Drosophila melanogaster: one gene and its partner. The protein of the gene in region 1 interacts with the protein of each later gene in a pairwise test. Each region holds a gene or a part of one and is shown on either strand. Other genes may lie near its edges.

Region 1 (4,814 bases):
ATTGAAGTCGTTGGCCGGGTCGCTGGGAAACTCTTTGAAATAGCGTTCCGCTCCAGTGCCCACGAACCGCTGCTGGAAGTCTGGGATGACGAAGAGCACTTGCATCACGCTGTTTATGTAGCAGGAGTTGCCCAGATTGCGCATGCCAGTGTATCCAGGACCAGCAACAGGCTGCAGCTCACTTTCGCTCTCCGTAAGCGCCGTCCACTCGCCGATGCGCTGGTTAATGTCCAACTCTAGCTCCACCATCGACTTCTCGCTCTTCTTCATCGCCGCCATGTTGATGCCAAAGTGGGAGAGATGGCGCTCTAAGTGTGGATCGAGTACCATTTCATCCTCCGGGTAGGAGAACACATCCGACTTGCCATCAGCGGTGATGGTGCCCAGTTTCACCGCCAGCGGGAAACCCGTTACTCTGTAGTGCTCCACGGCGTGATCGTTGCCGCCACTGCCGTCAAAGAACTTGCGTCCGCACATGATCGAACCATCGGTCAGATTAAGCCAGAGGTTGTTGGTCAAGTCGCACTTCTCGCACTGCCAGCCGGATGGGGGAATCCTCTTGCCATTATCCAGCTGCTGCAGGTTATCTGCGTACTTCGACGCCTGACGCACTTCACCATCCCAGGTGCCTGAAAAATTATTGATTTTAGGCTACCTTCGTCAGCATGGGATAACAATCCTGCAACTCACCCATCAGCGTGGCCTTCTCCAACTTGGCAATTGCCGAGTCGGCGGCCAGGATCGCTTCCACCGACTGGGTGACACGCATGGGCAGCTCTGGATCCGGATAGGGCAGCTTCTTATCCAGGTGCGGAGCCACCACGATGCTGTACGTGTCCTTGATCTCGTACTTCTTGGCCATGTCCGACTCGTTGTAGCCGCCCTCGACGCCAATGGCCAGGCGGGTGATCTTCCGTTCCGGTCCTGCCTCCGACTCCGCGCATTCGGCCTCCATGTCGGCGCCCTCCTTGATCGTCTTCACCCGCTGGATGTGGAGGAAGACCCGGTTGCCGGTCTTGTCGGCATACTCCCGCACATACGCCTCGCCGAAGCCCAAAAAGCTGTGCAGGCACACGTACAAACCGGTGGGCGTCTCGGGATTGTCATAGGAGTAGACGCACTCGTCCTTGTAGATGGGAGGACTGCCCGCCCCGGATGCGCATGGCACGTTCACCTTGGATAAATGCTTGCGTAGTTCCTCCATAACGGTATCTGGAATCCTGTAGGCAGCTCTTTTCTCATAAACTTTACGGACCGAATGTAAAATAGTATAGTTGATTTTTTTTGCAGCTGCTGCTTAGAGATGAACATGGGAAAATGCATCGATACCGGCGAGCATGGATATGCGAATATCGATGGGTTGAAATGGTGTTTTACTGGTTGAAATCAGCTTTTAACAATTCTTACCCTTATTTTTGTACCTTATAACGGCTTTTGAGTGATATTTACGTATTTGGCCGCCCAATAAGCACAATTAGTTTAATTTGACTGCTGCAGGCTATCGTTGTTTATTCAATACTGTCATCTCTAGCCAAAGCCAACAACAAATTCGCGAGTCACCAAGGGAACCGAACTGGTTCCGTTAAGTACGAACAATGCGGGGAAAGTGTGGCAACGCCGATTGTGATTCATCAGATGTATAACCGAAGTCAACATTTTAAAACAACAATTCAAATGTTAACCATTTAAATACAATAAACAAATTATTTTAAAATTTGGGACAATCTTTAACAATTGGGATACTAGTTTTGATCTAGGACTGGTCACACTATTAAGCGACCTGTCAACTCGTTGTATACAAAGTTGCCATATAGTCACAAAAATCTTTCGCATAAAGAAGTAAAACGTAAGAATTTTCATATGCGTTTTTCGCCAGGAAATCCGCATTAAAATAATGTAAAAAGTGGTAAAAAAGTTGGCGCAAAGAGTGAGCCAGTCAAAGGCATTGAAATTCAGCTCGCTCTAACAGTTTTCGGCGTTGTTTTGCCCCTCGCATAAATTTGTTGCGCGCCATTTTGTTTTTGGAAAGCAAAAGAAAAAGAAGAAATACAACAGCAAAAACCTACCACAAAAAGTCAAAGTTTGTAAAAGCGATAAAAAGCAAGAGGAAAAGGAATTCTGTGGGGGGAAAAGCGAGTGAATAACATGTGGCGGCTTGGCTAGTTCGAGCATCATCTTTGTGCCTCTAAAAGACATACGAAAATAACGCGCGACATGCACATAAATAAATACGACTGAAACACTGAAAACTGAAAATATCGATACGATGAATAAACGAAGAAGCAGCGATTAGTACGTCGTCGGCGGTCGTCTGTGTGGGTGAGAGAGTGAGGAAGACGGGAATGGGGAAGGCGATTAAGTGCGAAAGAGATGGAGGAGCGCGGGGCGCGTATATAATTACGTCATAAGAATTAAAGAAAATTCAAGGTCTACAGCACTGCGGCTATACAAAAAGCTATACGATTTCGTTACGTTCTCGGTTTTATCAAAAATAAAACTTTGGCCAGTGAGCAGCAACAACAACAAGTATGGCTGTTGTGTTCCAGTGTGTGTGTGTGTTGTGTTTCATTTTCGCGACTGTATAATTACATACACACGCAGTCCCGCCGATGTTGTTGTTTCTGTTTGATTTTTTATTGTAAGCGAGAAGAGCGCGCAGCTGTGAAAAGCAGATGAGAGAGAGAGAGGAAGAAAGCGAGAGAGTGGAATTTGTTGTTGAGCAATTTGTGTAACCATCGATAATGTTTGATTTATTTAAACCCCATTTTTATTACCCCTTTTTGCAGTGACTCGCGATGCGTGCGGCATAGAAGTCGTCGCCCCCCAAAAAACCGTGATCCCGACCCCCCACACGCACACACACATGTACAGACTGCGATTGTTCATAAATTTAAATTGATTAAAAGTCGGAGCGAAAAAGTAAAGCGAACAAAACACCGGAAAGCAAGGAAAATTAATAAAAATCAATAGAGGCGAGCGGGAGGCGATAAAAAGTGTTATCAGTGCGAATTAATTGGCTACGAAGAAGGAAAGAAGCAGGAGGCGGAGGAGCGGGAGCAGGAGGAGGAGGTTGCTCCGGAGATTGAGGTTTAGGGAGCTCCAAATCCGCATCCCGGACGCGGATCCGGACCCCTCGACATCATGTCCGTGCAGCAGTTCTGCCTGCGGTGGAACAACCACCAGCCGAACTTCATCTCCGTGTGCTCCTCGCTGCTGCACAATGGCACCCTGGTGGACGTCACCCTGGCAGCCGAGGGTCGCCAACTACAGGCCCACAAAATAGTGCTATCCGCCTGCAGCTCGTACTTTCAGGTAAGTTGGAGATCGCCGCAGCGTATATCCCTTACGAATTACACTCAAATGTGTTCGACAGGCTTTGTTCACCACAAATCCGTGCCAACATCCCATTGTCATCCTGAAGGACGTGCAGTACGATGACCTAAAGACCATGGTGGACTTTATGTACTACGGCGAGGTAAATGTGTCGCAGGAGCAGCTGCCGCACATCCTCAAGACCGCCGAGATGCTCAAGATCAAAGGCCTAGCGGAGATGCCAACGGATCCGGCCAATCTTACCAAGTCGGATAGCAAGTCCTCCACCGACGGCACCGAGATGGTGGGCGGTGCGGGAGTGGGCACTGGAGCGGGCAACTCGGCTGGCAGCCTGGGAGCCGGCAGTGGAAGCAGCGTCGGCGACTCCCTGTGGAGCAGCAGCGAGGCCCAACAGTTCCAGCAGCAGCAGCAACAGCAGGCCCAGCAACAGGCACAGCAGCAGCACCATCACCACCAGCAGCAGCAGCAGTTGCAGCAGCAACAACAACAGGCGCAGCAGCAGCAACAACAGCAGCAGCACCATCACCACCACCATCAGCAGCAGCAGAGCGGACAGGCGCAGGCGGCGCAGACGCATCACCACCAGATGCGACGTACGCCGTCGCCTTTGAGCGCTGGAACCTCGCCGGCCACCAGGCGCAAGCGCTTGCGCAAATCCTCGAATAACGGTGAGTTGGAGTTGGGTAAAGCATCGTCGTGATAGATCCAAAATTGTAAGGTCTCAAAAAATAACCGGTTTTCGTAATAACGCAGGTTCTGGCGATCGCAACAACGCGGAGGAGCAGCACAACAGCTCACTGGACGCGGGCAGTGGTGCCGGCAACGCCGGTCTCAGTCTCGCCCAGATGAACCAGATGACATTTGGTGCGGGCGGCGGCTTGGCCGGCCACTCACTGCACGCGGCTAAGCTGCTCAAGGAGTCGGCCAGCGCTGAGCTAGAGCAGCAGCCGCAGGACTCGGATCTTGACGATGGACACGGACACTTACACATGCAAATTGTAATGAAATTGGTCACGTTAACCTTGTACCCTCGTCCGCATGAGCAAAGTCACTAATTGTTTTCTTTTTCTTCTCGGTGCCCACGTGCAGAAGCCCGAAGTCGACATTGGCGGCGTGAACCAAACGATGCCCTTGGACATCTCCGGCGGTACCACACCATCCGAGCACGATGCGCCGAACTCCCAGTCCTCGCACTCGGGTAAGTCGCAATTGGAAATCAAAAGCCAGCACACTGTTCCATCAAAGCTCATTGTTCATCGGGTAGGGATCTCATTCGCCAGGTTGGATTCTTTTTTTTTATCGTTTCTTAGTTTTGTTTGCCTTGATTACTTTAAAAAACACAAATCACGGACAACTTAACTGCAATTCGTAGTCAAAAGAAAGCTGACACACTATAGACTAAGCAGGAGTCAAGAGGGAAAACGTGTATAGATCAGAAATGACTTGACTTTTTTGAAACGAGCATGACTGAAAGAACATAG
Region 2 (8,090 bases), about 10 Mb from region 1:
CCCGCACACCTCATGTCATGTCTTTAATTTTAAGCCAAAAGTGTTTGCTAATCATCATATCATGGATATTCAACTACTTTGCCCCACTATCATTTTCGTATGTGTTTTTCGAACAATTTTTATACTACTGGAACTACGAACTACGAAAGGAAACACAAAGATATGTAAAGTACGCCAGCGTACATAAATTATTGTATTATGAAATGAAATATACTAGTTTTTGCATAGCTCGCCGATTACTTTTCTCCATTTGGTTGCGATCGGGAAAATTAGCTAAACACGCACAATTTCTTTGGCTTCTTAAACATTTATTCCTTTGAAAATTGTGTTTTTTTTTTTTTTTGGTTTGGTAGGTCTTCACCCTGTCTTTTTGTGTGCAAGTGTGTGTGCGTGTTCAGGTGTATAATTACAATATTTATAAAAACTTGGCTTAGATTACTAGAATGTGTGGACGTGTGCTTGTGAGAGAGCGTGAAAGCGAAAGGATTGTGTTTGTAACTTGCAGTTTGAGAGCCTCGGAGGTTGCTAAAGTTTCAGAAAAAATAAACGTAAATTGTGCTAAACGTAAGTACATAAATTAAGATAGCTAGAAAGGCGCTCGAGTGCAGAAGACGAAAAACGAATTGCGCTAATTATCACAGCCGGGTCTAAGACGTTGGTTTCGGTGGGACTAAAAGTTGACATATTCATATGTTGGGCACCTCATGAGTGGGTGATGAAAATTGGCTCCTCTGACATTGTTAAAAAATCCGATCATACTTAGTGGTAAAATAATGGGGCTAGATGTCAAAAAATAACGAAGAGCGTAATCTTTCTTACAAAAATCAAAGTTTGAACTTGAGATATTTTAAATATACTTTCAATACAAAAAAACATTTTGAATATGCAAATTTAAATGGTTTTGCAAGTGTTTTCAAAATGATATTATTAAGCTTGATTACGCTTGCTGATTAAATATTTTTGAAATTGGATTCGAAGTTCGGAAACATTGAAATTGAAATAGATTCCACCACCCTTGAGCGGATTTACAATTGGAGTCAGGGATCAGCCCTTTCCTTCCACCACTCATCGGTCACCCAACAATATGCGTGTGCATGGGTGGGCGTACTCCTTGTGTCTGTGTGCGTGTTTGTGTGGTGAGTTGAACAAATCAAAAATATTCAAAAAAATTATCCTCAGGTGGTTGACGCCGATGCCTCTACACCGGTCGCCTCTCCGTTGCTCGCCGTCGGTGGCTCCCGCTCACTTTTGATGCTCGGTGGCGCTTCGTGTGCCAAGTCTAGCGATGGTTGACCAGAAGCTGGCGAGGATTCGGCCACTGCTACGGCTGCTGCAGCAGCAGCCATCTGAAATTGATTGGGCAGGAAAAGGTACGGATTCCTTGCCTCCTGACCCGAACATCCAAGTGTGGTCGCTGGAGCTGGACCCACATCGCCACTGGTGACCGTGTGACTGGCGCTCATGGACATGGGCGTGGAAGTGGGCACAGTGGTCGCTGCTAGCTTGGAGACCCTCTTCCGGCGAGCCTCGTTTTCACATGGCGATGGCGCCCCAGGATGTCGGTAGCTAACGTGCTTGCGCAGGGCATCCTTGCTGCGGGACACATGGGAGCAGACATTGCAGGCATACCTGATGGAATCGAAAAGTAATTCCAAAGGTGACTTCTATTGTTTTATAACAATTAAAATTCAGACCACTTACCGAACATTCTGATGGGTTTCGAGGTGGACGCGCAGGTTGTATTGGTTGCTCAGCTGCTTGTGGCAGATGAAACAGGTGGCATAGAGCTTCGAGTTGGACGGCGGCTTGATGGGAGCGGTGGCCAGCGACTTGTCGCGGTCGGCGCTCAGCGAGAGCAGATTGGGCTCCGACTTGGCGCTGACCAGCGCCATTCCGCCGGCGGCCGCTGCCGCTGCTGCTGCCGCCTCCCGCTGATACTGTTCGATGTGGAGCTGCAGCTTGGCATGATCCTCGGCCGAGATGTAGGGCGATGGCCCGGGTTGCGGGTGGTGGTGCATCTGCGCCGCCTGCTGGGCGGCAGTCGGCGTGACTGCTGCACTATAAAGTGGTGGCTTGCTACTATAGAGTTGACCTTGGCCGAGAGCGCTGGGGTAACTAGCCGAGGAGCACTTGACCACCGGCAACTGAGGGGAGAAGTGTGCCATGGTCGGGGGAGCGAGAGTTACTGGTGAAGTGGCCACAATGGGATTCGGGTTGGAGCATTCCTGAGGCGACTTGCTACTGCTACTGTTGGTCGTCGATGAGGATTTTGGATTCTTTAAAAGGCTTTTTTCCAGTCGCCTAAGCTCCTTCGGCGGACTGTCGCCCTTTAGCCTCTTGGAGCCAAAACAGTCCGTCTCCAGTTGATCCTCCTGCATCCCGCTCTGGTAGAGCTGACATTGCTGCTGATACTTGGCCAACAGCTCAGTGGTCTTGTTGAGCGCCGTCTGCGAGAAGTTGAGTGGTTGGGGCAGCAGACTGGGGTAGAACTGCAGTGATTTAAAGAGATTCTCCAGGGGCGTGGTGCCCATTCCACTGGAGTTCACCGATCCCAGTTTGTTGGCCAGGAGAGGGGTGTTAAGTGCTGCACTTGGTAGCTGGGGCAGGGGGAGTGAATGGCTTGGGGTAGGCGTGTGGGAGGGCGTAAGGGTGGGGGTGGGCGTGGGCGAGGGTGTGGTGGGACGTTCAAACTCAGAGGACTTCTCATTCGTCGTATCCATGTAGGAGCCACCTCCACTTCTCGCTGTTTTTGGTAACTGCTTGGATTTATGAGACCAAAGAGAAAGGCGTATGAGTTTCAGGGAAAAACTACAAGTTTATTTAAATTATCTAACTAGATCTTGCACTTGAGCTACTCACATTGTTGTTCTGGACATCGGCCAGTCCCTTGATGCCCAGTGTCTCGGCCAGGTTGAGCAGCATCGGTATCTGCTCCTCGTATACATTCACCTCTCCGGAGTACATGAAGGTGAGCAGTGAGACGATGGCGCCGAAGCTGGCCCCTGGTATGATGATGACTGGATGGTTACTGGCCTCTAGAGCCCGGAAGATGTCCATAAAAAAGCTGCTGCAGGCACTCAGTACCACGCGATGGGCCCTCAGTTGGCGTCCCTCGGCCGAAATGGTCACATCCGTCAGATGGGATTGGTCCAGCAGAATGGGCAGAGTGCTCAGCAAACTTGTCTGGAAGGGATCAGAGGGAATGGGGTTGGGGATGTGAAAAGTGCTCATAAGTGGGTCACACGATCATAAAAATACAATTTCCTGGGCCCCATGATGCTCCTCTGTCTGCGGTGTAACAGGGGACAGGGGTTGGCTGCAGCTGCTTTCCAACTTTTCGATTTACTCGCTGTGGAAATTCTTTGGATTTTGGCAATTGCACGAATCTGTTCATTTATGTGACACACACACTGAACACTCCTCCTCACTACTCTTTGTCCATTTGGCTGTTTTGCTATTTTGGACAGCCAGTTTCACCGCTGCCCCGCTTTCACCGCATTACACCCTTTGGGCCGAAACACAAAAATTGTCACTATATGAAAATGCGGAAAACTATGTGTGAATCTGTACGTATAGGGGAATGTGTTTGGATAGATGGATCCTATATATAGATGCGGCGACATTTTACTTTCGGCCTGCTCGCTTCACTGAACGATGTCCAGTCCATTCTAATGGATCTTACTTATGAGGTAATGTTGAATATAGTCCCCCCACAAATGAAAATTCAAATGAATTTTATCTGGAGGATCTCACCTGATGGTTATGCCATCGCAGGCAGAATTGCTGTTGGCTGTCATTGTGCTGCAGCTGCTGATCAAAATGATGATGCTGCGGTTGTCTGGCATTAGTGCTATTTACATGTTCCATAATTCATTTGGGTTTGGATCACATGGACCAGCTGCAATGGAAGTAAGGGGGTAAATGCAATTAGTGAATGTGCAAGATGTCGGATGTCGGAGAGGTAAACAAATTCTATTCGCCTTGCCCCAGCCCACTTGGCTTCTTTGTTTTCGTTTCTCATAATTTGTTTGTTTGCATTTCGGTTTGTTTATTTATTGAACGTTTTGTCACACACACTTTTCGTGTCCGCTCTTCTTGGCCGCCTAGAAGAGCGTCTGCACCACGAGGCGTATACGTATTATGTCGTAGCAGTTGGCTTATTACTCATACGCCCCGTTATGCGCAATCTTGCGGGTCGCGGAGGTTGTTTGTCATTGGGGACCGGGAAACGGCATAATTTGATTTAATGACAGCCTGATCCATCTTTAGATTGCTGCCAGCTCCTCCAAGGTATCCGGATTGTCGAGTACTCCTCTATGTTTTGATGACCAAGTCAACGGGCTGATTTACTCGGCCGTTTCGGTGAGTGCCCAGTTGACGAATCGGAATTACAATAAAACAGCACACACACAGACGCACAGACACGGCCAGTGTTATTTGTGTTCTTTGCTGGCAATTAAACCAAATTTATTTAAATAAAATAAGTTTTCCTTGGCTGGCCTGGCCTGGGCGATCTGATCGCAGTGCCACTGTGGGTTTCTGGGTACACTATAAATTTGGCAATTTCCATTGTTCGGATCGCATGTGATGCACTGGGCGGGCGGGCGGTTCACACTTTTGTCCGAGGGCTATTTATAAGAAGCTAGTCCAAGGAAGCTGGGGTGGGTATGTCGGTATGTGGGGGATTTTGGGGATTTCTCGGTCTATGCTGCTGCTGCTGCTGCTGCACCGACGACCATTGGAGGCCCCCCAAAAACAGGCAGCCCGGCCAATGCAAATCCGCAGCGAAGTGACAAGTCCGAGTCTTTTGGTTTTCTTTGCACTTTAGCTAGCCCAGCGTGCAATTGTTGGACGACGGAATTTTCTTCATTCCATTATGTGTGCACATGGGACTGAGAATCGCATCTAAGCATTTCTCTATTGAGAGACGATGGATGGTGGAGGTTGCCTTGCCATGCCATGCCTGATGGGGTACAATGGATGCCTGGCTATGGGATTGGAGGGATGGGGATTGGGGTGGATGGCGACTCGAGATGGAGGGTCGGAGGAGGAGCGGCGCGGCCTTTTTGGCGCTCGTTCACACAAGAAAGTGTTGTCGTGACAGTCAGGCAGCCTTCTTTTCCGTAACTCTTTGGTATTTCGCTCAGTTTTTACTTGATTTTCCGAAATTAGTTTTTCAGCCTTTCAGCTCGGCACCTCCTTCTCCTGTACCGTCCTCTGGCTGTTGTTTTAAATAGCCATCCAAAAAATAAAGATCTGTGCTAAACGCTCTCGCCATGCTGTCTATTTTGATTTGTTGTCCAAGTGCCTGCCTTTTGTCATCCATGGCAATTCATTCCAAAGCACCTCGCAATCGTTTTCATTTCGATTTGGATTTGGCTTTGCCTTTAGCTTTGGTTCATTTCGAAGCTATTTCGTTGATGCGTAATATTTTACACATAATCACTCATACGCCTCGTTGAGAATGTCGAGGGAAGTGGATAGAAAATGAAATCATGCTTAAGCCTTCGCTGCGTTGCCTTTGTTATTGTTGTTTAACTTTCATTTGTTCCATGAAATGTGGCGCACATAAATTTGATGTCAACGCTGTTTTTTTCCGAGAGGTATTTGAATTTCAATATAGAATTCGCACGATCAGCGGTATATGTGAATCACGCATAATCCAGTGGCCCAGCATATCTGCCCCTGGGGAAGTCTAATAATAGAGCTCTATGGCTAACCCTTATGGTTGAGGATCTCGAATTGACTTCTTTTATGCTAATGGGATGCTCGTGGCGATCATCAAATTGAATATTTTCCCTCAACTCATGTTATTTTATGTAGTGTTTTTATGACACGCAGTTTGTTTTTTATCTATCTTTCACATTGAAGATCTCCTTTTGTGCTCGCAGCGACATTACACAATTTACTTGAATAATTTAATCACTCGGTTCTATGTTTATCACTGGGTTCTCGTTAAACGAATCCTTCACATTTTTGTTTTATTTATTTTTCTCTTTTTCTAGCTTTTCACACATATTTTGCTAATGCCATTTTCCCCGCGTCCGTTACGAATTTTCCCTTTCGCGATTTTCGCGACGGGACAAGCGTGCACCTTTGTTAACCGTTTGCTGCTCGCATCTGAAATGAAAAAATCCGAAAATGTTTCAATTCTTTCGGTTTAGTTGGAGATTTTCTATTTTTCGAATGTCCATCTCTTGACAATTTTCCTCTATCTTGTGTTGCTGTTGTTGGTGTTGTAGCTGCTGCTGTTGCTTGTTGGTGTTGCTGTTGGCCCAAATGTTGTTGCTGCTGCTGTTGCCATTTGTTTAGCGGATTCGAATTTGGCTCTCAGCATGTCGGGCGGATCCGTTTGTCGCCCGATTCCATGTTCTTTAATTAATGAGCAGGCCGCATCGGCGCAGCGAAGAGAAATCTCAGCGGTTTTGTACTCGCGATCAGTGTGAAGCCTCTTGGCCAAAAATTAATTGGCTGCCCCGCAGTTAGTTAATCAAAACATTTGCCAGTGGCAAATCATCATGAGGGCATCATCATCATCATCATCATAATCAGGAACTGCGACCACTCCGCCACTAGACACAATTGACACGACTGGCCGACAGGCGGAGGAATTTGTTGGTGCAGCGGCGGCTGCTACTGTTGCGGGATCGTGTGCATTATTAATTTGCAATAAAATGTGGAAGCGGCGACAGCAGTTGCCGCCGTTTGAAAATTGCCCGCCGAAAATAAATTCATATACCTGCGCGTTGGATTTGTGAATTATGCCTGACAAATACAAATGGAACCGCCAGATGGAGACGCCGTTGGTCATCGGGCACCCAGCACCTTCATTATGCACTTTTCAATTCATTAAAATGCCACAAATACTTATTTATTATTGTCATCTGTGCGCACCTCGATTTGGGTTAGCAGCCGCGTAGCTTGGAGGCTGTAAATAGCTCAATGTGTATATAAGCCCTTCACTCAAGGATAATTCCTTACATAAAACGTACGTTAAATGTCAAAGTACCACTAACAACTATCTAGTTGACTGACAATGCAAATGCACACGTGATTGCTATGTACACTCTAAGAAAGAAAAATAAAGTGCATACAGGAAATTATTCATTTATTTTTGATTATGATCAAAGTTAAAGCCTCATCTTAAGAACATATAAATAAATGTATAAAAGTTAATAAAATGATTTGAAATCAACCTACAGATCGCCTAATCTAATCTAATTTATTTAGATCAAAGTTGAGCTTCTAAAGATAAATCTAGTAGCTATAACTAAAGCACTGAGCCTCGCTGCTAGGCTTGCATTGCTTTGTAGGAAAGTCCCAGCCATACTTGTAAGGACATCTCACAATGGTCAGATAGCCGCTGAGGCACCTGTAGTAGTACTCGCACCGCTGGGGATGAGGATGGTCACCATCTCCGGAAATGTCGCAGTGCGGCCTTTCCTGAGCTGGAGAGGAAGGCTTTGCAGATGGGGAGGATGGCGTAGCAGATGTAGTCGGTGGCTCAGTCACTGAAGGAATTGATTCTGTAGGGGTTGTTGTAGAATCAGCTTGGAAAGTAGAAGAGTCCGCAGATCCTGTAGAGGCGTAATCAGAAGGCGGTGTTGGAACGGGAGTGGTTTCTTCGATCCCGCTCTGCTCCTCACCAGTAGTTTGCTTATCGGGCTGCTCCTCAGTCTGGACTGAGTCTGAGTTCCTTAGACACACACCCTCATCATCAAAGGCACACTCTTGGGTTCGATCGTCAAAGTAGGTGGACTCGGGGCAGCTGTCTCGGAAGGAGTCTTCTCCATTGCAATAGATGTATGAAGCGCAATCTTCGATGGCCATGACAAAGGTATCCAATGGAGCATTTGCGCACTGCGGGAAAACTTCGGCTTCAATTGAAGTGAGATATCCTGCCAGGATCAGCAGACAATGCAAAGATAGTTTAAATGACATGGTGCTATTCAGTTGGTTCACTTTATTGATAGAGATGAGGTTTGGCGATCCCTATTTATGGCAATTTTCAAGCCTCATTGCGAAACTCTTATCGTTACACTTGTGGTTGATATCTTCCCAAATAACATGTTGCCAATTTTTATCTTTCT

Evidence for each region.
Region 2: the proteins of BtbVII (region 1) and CG32121 interact in a two-hybrid assay, tested with the Drosophila melanogaster proteins (one study listed by BioGRID).

The regions. Positions count from the first base shown.
Region 1 is NT_037436.4:3,146,842-3,151,655, forward strand, and holds the start of BtbVII (BTB-protein-VII), read left to right. Parts: upstream 1-1,804; 5' UTR 1,805-1,846; intron 1,847-1,858; exon of another isoform or gene 1,859-1,896; intron 1,897-2,060; exon of another isoform or gene 2,061-2,080; intron 2,081-2,291; exon of another isoform or gene 2,292-2,319; intron 2,320-2,786; 5' UTR 2,787-3,141; coding exon 3,142-3,312; intron 3,313-3,373; coding exon 3,374-4,001; coding exon of another isoform or gene 4,002-4,016; intron 4,017-4,086; coding exon 4,087-4,331; coding exon of another isoform or gene 4,332-4,343; intron 4,344-4,422; coding exon 4,423-4,531; intron 4,532-4,814. Other genes in the region: Usp5 (ubiquitin specific protease 5), read right to left, coding at 1-629, 691-1,204.
Region 2 is NT_037436.4:13,416,228-13,424,317, forward strand, and holds CG32121 (uncharacterized protein), read right to left. Parts: upstream 6,110-8,090; 5' UTR 6,095-6,109; intron 3,899-6,094; 5' UTR 3,868-3,898; coding exon 3,754-3,867; intron 3,184-3,753; coding exon 2,860-3,183; intron 2,757-2,859; coding exon 1,702-2,756; intron 1,630-1,701; coding exon 1,176-1,629; 3' UTR 349-1,175; downstream 1-348. Other genes in the region: CG33263 (uncharacterized protein), read right to left, coding at 7,258-7,941.